2 linked regions of the Rattus norvegicus genome follow. The protein of the gene in region 1 binds, or shares a complex with, the protein of each later gene. Links are inferred from orthologs where the notes say so. Each region holds a gene or a part of one and is shown in the gene's direction. Other genes may lie near its edges.

Evidence for each region.
Region 2: the proteins of Tnks (region 1) and Usp25 are in contact, whole or in part, in a crystal structure (PDB 5GP7), measured with the Homo sapiens proteins. The link is inferred for Rattus norvegicus from reciprocal best matches to the Homo sapiens genes TNKS and USP25. Residues at the interface, in NP_003738.2 of Homo sapiens: Arg836, Ser838, His842, Leu843, Gly846, Tyr847, Leu871, Asn876, Ser879, Tyr880, His882, Asp900, Trp902, Phe904, Glu909, Gln912, Lys913, Gln934, Glu935; in NP_037528.3 of Homo sapiens: Ser1046, Ser1048, Arg1049, Thr1050, Pro1051, Ala1052, Asp1053, Gly1054, Arg1055.

The regions. Positions count from the first base shown.
Region 1 is NC_086034.1:64,053,543-64,057,363, forward strand, and holds part of Tnks (poly [ADP-ribose] polymerase tankyrase-1), read left to right. Parts: intron 1-2,939; coding exon 2,940-3,060; intron 3,061-3,821.
Region 2 is NC_086029.1:29,160,127-29,163,947, forward strand, and holds part of Usp25 (ubiquitin carboxyl-terminal hydrolase 25), read left to right. Parts: intron 1-661; coding exon 662-789; intron 790-1,120; coding exon 1,121-1,216; intron 1,217-2,235; coding exon 2,236-2,397; intron 2,398-2,926; coding exon 2,927-3,153; intron 3,154-3,821. UniProt on the Homo sapiens protein: Deubiquitinating enzyme that hydrolyzes ubiquitin moieties conjugated to substrates and thus, functions in various biological processes including inflammation and immune response.

The DNA.
Region 1 (3,821 bases):
GTCAAAACCTCAGGTTCACAAGGGCCACCTCCTGTTGAGAGCTTCTTCGCTCTGCTTCCTGTTGTGAATCCTCTTGGTCAGAAGCTGACCTGTGCCTGTGCTCATGCTGTTGACTTAGGAGTTTATGAGTCAGCCTTCAGTCAGCTTATCCTCTTATCACTTTTATTGTTCTTTTTTACTGGTTTTCTTCCGAGTAAATCAATGTCCCATTGATTTTTCTTTTGTCCAAAATAATTTGTATATCCTTTTCATAGTCAAGATGTTAACTGTTGCAGTTAACGCATATTACCTGGTGTAGCCCCTCTCCTCCAGATAGTGGTGTGCCTTTCTATATATTGACCTATTTTAACTGTCTTTTGGGCCATTGAGCAGACAATTAAGTTTATTTATTATTTCGAGTGCAGATGTTATCTGTAGTCTTCAGGTATAAAATCCTAAGCTACTTAACTCTTCCACAGCATGCCTTTAGAATTTTCTTTTCTGTCATAAACATTCTGTAGCAGTCTGGTAATGTGATCCATCTCTGTGTCTACTTAATCCTGCTCTGGGTGTGTTTGCTCAGACTCCTGGTGTACTGTATTCTGCTGCCTCTGTTCCTGCCTGCGAATACTGCTGTCCCAGTGAGGCGGGAGGCAATTCTTTTATTTCTTCCCCTAGAAGACTTGAGTGCATCATATCCTCAGCTCCACCGTCACAGTTCTCTTCTCAGAAGTCTGAGTCGTCCTCTTCCATAGATGCTTCATAGAGAAACGTCAGGATCCTGTCTACTTAACTGTAGCACTGCATAGCGTCTCCTCACACTCATAGTGTAGCTTCCTACCTAGAATGCTTTGTTCATGGGAAAGGAAAATTGGGTTTACATTATAATTTATGGAGTTCAACTGCTATGACTTGGATTTTCACAGAAAGTAACCATATCCATTTTATTTCAAGTTGTAGTGCTTGGGCCCAACAAATTCATTGTAAATACGGTTACAAAGTCACCACTGCTACCACCCCAAGGGAAAAAGGCCTTTTCACTTACAGTAGTTAATTTTCTCTTCACAGGCCAGGCAAACAAGCAACTCTTAGGGGCAGGAGGCGACCCTATAGACATAGCCCTTACTCTATATGCAGAACCGTTTTTAGCTGATAGATGAATAGACTTTATTATTTTATATTAATGTACGTTAGATATGAGTAACTCCCTTCTCCCAAAGAAAAGAACTTGGGGAACAAGCTTGTGGTTTCCTCCAAATACCAAATATATTCTCTGTTTCCACCAGATAAGTCAGTAGAGGCATAAAAATAATAAATAATTAAATATAAGGGGGAAGTACTATCCTGTCATTTCCACTATATCACATTAGTTAACTACTCAGTAAGTGTAGCCCACACCCAAAGGGAAGGGACTTTAATTTAGAACACAAATGCTAGAGACTGAAGATCTCCAGCAGCCATTTTAGAGACTGCTCTCCACACCAGGGAGGAGCCTGGCTCCCTGAGCCCTGCTCTGTGAGCGGAAGTGTAGTAACTCAGGGTTCCTCTGCTGGGGCAGGGGCTTGGGTGAGGATTTTACATTCGTGTTGTGATTGGAAGTCTATATATTAAAACTGTCTTTATTTCTTCTCTAGACATGATTAGAAATCCCTTGGGGTTTTGTTTTGTCTTCTAGCCTGACTCTGACACCCTTCAGCTCTGCACTGCTGTATGTCAATTAGAAAGCTTTTGATGTATGTAACCTGGTTACCTCACATACACGAGGCTGTGTTTTTATTGTCAATATTCATATTTAAACTGAAATATAAAATATCTAGAAGAAGACGGTATCGGCAGCATGGCTTACAGTTACATTAAAATCAGGTCTGACTAAGAACTATTTTGTAAACTGTTCTATTTCAAAGATGATTATTTCCATGTTGCTGTCTTTTTAAAGCTCTGTTGAAAACTTCTTTGGGTGATTAGAAGTGACTTACAGATCTTGTACCATGAAACAATTATTTCTTCAATGGCCACTTAAAGTAATATGCTAAATTACCTCAGAGAATGAGCAGTGTGGTCCTTGCATGGACGATGCTGCTCATCGTGCAGTGTTTCCTTTTGACAGGAAAAATCAAAGCTCCGGCTCGAAACTGTCACTTTAAGTGTAAGGACTAAGAAAGTGATTTTTTTTTTTTAATTTTGAATGAGTTAGAAAAACGATGTCTATAAAGGATATTTCAGTTTTCCAAAGAAAGAAAATAACCCAGGGCAATAGGCATGTGTTTGCCCCAGGACCATTTTCTGCCCTGAGGAAACTACCAGTGCCATCCTCTGGACATGAGGTGATGTCAGAGCTTTGCCACTGGGTGGAGGCAGAGTCACAATCTGTACAGACATCAGCCGAGTGTTGTCAGCAAGCATCACTAACCTGGTATTTATGAACTTAAAAACCATCTCTCCTTTTCTGTACATTGAGATTTCTTTATCTCTCATAGAATGGCCTGTGACCTAAACTGATAAACCAGCCCGCCTCCTGAAGCCACGGCAGTACTCCTGGCTTGCTCCTTTCCCAGCACTGGGAAGTTCTCATCTTACTTTTGCCACACTGTGGTGACAGATTAAAATGTTCCCCCTCCCTCTGCCATTCCTTTCTCCTACCCACACGGTACAGAATTTGGGGTTTTCCCATTTTCAAGCTGCTGATCTGTGTATCTGGAGACACACAGAAGATGACAGAATGGCAGCCAGAGAGACGTGGCAGTGGTCACCTGTCTTCCCATCACAGGGATCGTCTGCTCCAAACAAGTGCCAGAGGCCATTACTGAACTAGGAGGCCACTGGTCTTCTTAGGCTGCATGAAGGTGGTGCTTAGAAAAGGAAGCTGTTCGTCAGACTTGTAATTGCAGCCCCTAGACGGCACAGGAGCGCTCGTCCTCCCAAGCCGGCACAGATTTAGTTAAGTTTGCTTTCGTTTTCAGATCACGTTAGATGTGCTGGCCGATATGGGTCATGAGGAACTGAAAGAAATAGGCATCAATGCCTATGGACACCGCCACAAGTTAATCAAGGGCGTTGAAAGACTCTTAGGTGGACAACAAGGTAAGCTGTTTTGGGGAAAAGTTGTTTTCAGAACTTAGTGAAGAAATATCAGACTGGATGTGGGGCTTGGGTAGTCTAACCCCAGAGCACATGCAGGTAACTGGTACAGTGTTCTCTCCTCCCTCGCTTCAGTTACTCACTTGTACTAGCTGGACAAGTCTGAGATCCTCCCTCTGCTACACTTCTCTCAAATCTTTGTACTTTGTCCTTTCCTCTGCTTTCACCTAACCCAGTCTCTCCCTCTCCTGGGCCTCAGAGTCTACAACCTGGACCTTCACCTCCCTCCCTGCCTTCTCCACAGCCTCCAGAGGACTCCAGCACATGCCTATCAACCTCTAATCCTGCTCTTAACCCTCCAGCAGGTTAAGTGCTTTCTGGATAAAATCAGGCACTTACTCCATGGTTTCCCTCAGCTTGGCCAGTCTTGCCTTATCTTGAGCTCTCCTTCTGCCCTCAGGTTCAACCATTGTCCTTCACTGCCACAGGCCTCTTCTCTTACTTCCATATTTTCTGTACATCTCCTTGTTAGACACACTTTCCATAGAGCAGAGAAGAGAAGGAACATATATCTATGGAGTTGAAAAAACTATAGGCAACCAAAACTTTGAAGGTTTTGAATTTGACTCTTTTTTTGTTTTACATGTATTTTAGTCAACCTTATGAAATTAACAGAGCTAAGTTATGTCAGTAACCATTTCAAGCCATCCCTGAAAGAGGTTTAGAGGGCAGTTACTGTAGTGTAGAACTCATTCCATTGTAAT
Region 2 (3,821 bases), on another chromosome or scaffold:
AATTTTGCATGTAGGGGTGGGTGGTTAAGACATGCTTTGAAGGGGTTGGGGATTTAGCTCAGTGGTAGAGCGCTAAGGCCCTGGGTTCGGTCCCCAGCTCCGAAAAAAAGAAAAGAAAAAAAAAAAGACATGCTTAGAGCAATAAGAAATTTGACTCATTAATTGCTAGTTTGTATTTGAAAGTTTTTACAATTTTTTTTGCTAATGAAAAATGTTTACCATAAATCAGTATAATGTGTAATTGTAAGATTCAAGGTAAAAATAGGAAGAGAAAAAATAGAAAATAGGAAGATAATGTTTTTCCAATTTTAGGATGAAAACACTGAGCATTTTTGCCAGACAAGTATTTTTCCCTTGGAATCAAATCGTGGATTTGACATTCGGTTTTAATAAGTTTTAATAAGTGTCATTCAGCATGAGACAGAAGACGGAGCTCTGGAGTCCTTTTCTTCGAGTTAGAATTTTGAATGTTACAACTGTATAGATAAGGTTTCCCTCTGTCCTCTAGACAAAGGCTATGGGAACTTCAGATAGATGTTCAGCTGTAAGGTAAACATCATAGTTCCTCTGTGTGCTGTCAGCGCCAGGATGGTATCCTTGTCCTTAAAACTCTGATGAGAAACCTAACTGAGGCTAAGTGTCTGTTCTCATTTTCTTTCAGCATTGGTTCACTGAATTGCCACCTGTATTAACATTTGAACTGTCAAGATTTGAATTTAATCAGGCATTGGGAAGACCAGAAAAAATTCACAATAAACTAGAATTTCCCCAAGTTTTATACCTGGACAGGTATGGTTTGTACAACATGTGGTAGGTTTGCAACTGTTGAGTAAACAAGGGGAGGGTAACTGTATAGTAAAATTCGTTATTTCCTTCCAGCTAAAGTTTATTGATGCTTGATGTGTCTGTTTTATTATTTGTTAAGGGAACACATTCATTTTCTCTTATCCATATATAGTTCTGAATGTAAATATATTAAATGTTAAAATAGTTTTGTGTTTTATATCTGGTATCTTATAAAACTTCAGTTAATCTTTTGTAGTGATAATTAAATTTAACATCATACTCGTTTCTAAGATATTTGGGAACATTAATGCTGGCTAATTTTTTTCCTTTGTAGGTATATGCACAGAAACAGAGAAATAACAAGAATTAAACGTGAAGAGATCAAGAGACTTAAAGATTACCTCACAGTATTACAACAAAGATTAGAGAGGTATTTCTGCCTTCGTGAAATTATGACAGGAAAGCAAGTGCTTGTGACTCCCTAGATTATTCATTTTAAATATGCTTCGGGTAACTTATAATGTATACAATCATTCTGGATTTAATTTTGATTATTTATTTTAGAAACTAGTTTGCATCCTTAGTAGACTGTAGATGATTACTTTAGAAATTGAAATGAAAGATCTGATTATCACCGCCTTGTTCCCCTGGTGCTGAAAGTGGAGGTAAGGAGGCTAGCAGAGAGCACAGGGTTCACTGGCTTGAGAGGAGCGGCAGCTGAGTGAGAGGATCCGCACTCTTCCCACCTGGCCTCCCAGGAGTCACACAGTGGATCAGTCACTCAGGAAGAAGCTGGTCAGCGAAGGGCATGCACGGCTCATAGACGTGTGTGCCGAGTGGGTGGGTGCTGTCGCACACCATAAGGGAGGGGCTGTGCGTGCATGTGTAAGAACATCGTGAACATTGTAAGAACAAGTCACAGCTCCATCAAATGTGGAATGTGGGTGCTGTGCAGGCCAGAGAAGTCTAAGACTGAAATCCCAGTTGCTGACGTACAACTTTCTGAGTTAGGTTTAATTTGCATGTTAGTAACATAAAATGTTGAGTGTGAACATATATTTCTAGTGAGTTTTAGTCTTAAGTTCCAGTACATGTATGAAAAGTGTTCATGGGGTAGGTGACGATGAAATGACTACCTGGCCCCTAAGGCTCAGGAGATGAGGATGTTTGCAGATGGTCCCGACTTTGTTTCCCCACCGGGCACAGTTTAGGATGGCGTCTTAGGTGCAGCCACACATATGACTTGCATTTTGATCAGCTCTGCTGTCCTTCCTTCTGAGAACATTTAGTCCATCTCTTGAATGTATGTTCAGTTTCACCTTCTTTATTAGAAAAGCAAGTGAATTCCACTGATGTCTTATTTATTGATGTGTTGTCTTATTTTATAAGACTTAAAGCCACAAATTATGCTGACAATATAGGAAAAACATTTGTATATTTTATTAATAGATATTTAAGCTATGGCTCCGGTCCCAAAAGATTCCCACTGGTCGATGTTCTACAGTATGCGTTGGAGTTCGCCTCCAGTAAGCCTGTCTGCACCTCTCCTGTGGATGATATCGATGCTACTTCCTCAACCAGTGGCTCCACATCATCACAGTCGTTACCAAGGTAACGTTCCCATGCAGCAAGCTGCTCTGGTGCCTGTATCCTGTGCTGCCTTCACACGGGTTCTGTGCTGTTGTGATTAACCTCGAGAAACCCTTTAAACAGTGGGTCACCTTAGCTGCTTACCCCTTATCATTTCAGCAGGTCTGTGTTTATCTGTGGAATCTTTATACATGGTCTCTGCTCACAATTATACGTTCAATGTTCTGGTTTGTAGTTTCTGAACGTTTATAATATGTTAATAATGCTCTTGAACACAAATTTCTTTCTGGTAATGCAAGTTGGTATTTGCAAAGGTAGAATATACATTAGATTTTCCATTTAAAAATAAGAAGGCATTCTTGTTTTAAAGCCACACTTTCATCCTCATAAGATTTTAGTCCTCCCATACTGAATGTCTCATCAGGATATTTGATCAGTTCATGTATTTCTTAAGATCATTTTCTCTTGAAATTATGAGGAGCTCGAATGCTATCTATATATTTGCCTTCCATTTGGAGGTCTAATAGTAGTGTATGCTTTGAAACCACAGCACAACAGAACAGCAGGGAACCCCTGCTTCAGACCTGCCCAGCTCGTCACCTGCATCAGGTGCTGCCCTGTCACTGAGGTCAGTGATACACAAACCCTTCACTCAGTCGCGGATCCCTCCAGACTTGCCCATGCATCCGGCACCAAGGCACATCACAGAGGAAGAACTGTCTGTGCTGGAGAGCTGTTTACATCGCTGGAGGACGGAAATAGAAAATGACACACGAGGTAAGAAGCCCGCAGACTGGTTGCTGTCACTTCAGATGATGTTGTATACAGAAAGGGAAAAATCCCTTGGAATTCATTTTAAATACTTGTACTTTTCCTTCTTTTAAAAACTCTTTTCTGAAAAGCTTTTGTGGGAGACACTGATCTGGCTCTGCATTCTTTTGCTGTTAGTGTCAGGTTCACAGGCACCAAAAGGGTTTCCCCAGATTACTTAGCTGATTAATGATGGAGCAGATGGTCTGATTTGCCAGTGTAGTGTTCTAAATTTATATCAAACTGGAATTCACAGCTACTCCATTGGGGAAATGTCATAGAGCCTCAGAATTTGTACTCATCGGTTCTAAACTCCATCTGATGCTTGCACAACGAAGAGGGGGTAACTGTTTCCCTCTGAGTATAAAGAAAACCACTTGAAAAGTGAAGTTTTATTTTTGTTTGTCACTGGAGGTTTAACCATGCTAGAGATGCAGAGTCCCATCTCCAGCCTCATTGTTTAATCTAGTCTAAGAGATTTACAGATAGGATCCATGGACCCAACAGCAGTCCGTAGGAGATTTTCAGGAAGTCTGCAGCAAAATAAGGGTTTGCTGTGTGGGAGTGTATATGGATGACACATGTATTGCTGAGCTATACATGAAGGAAACTTTATTTTGAATTCATTTCTTTAA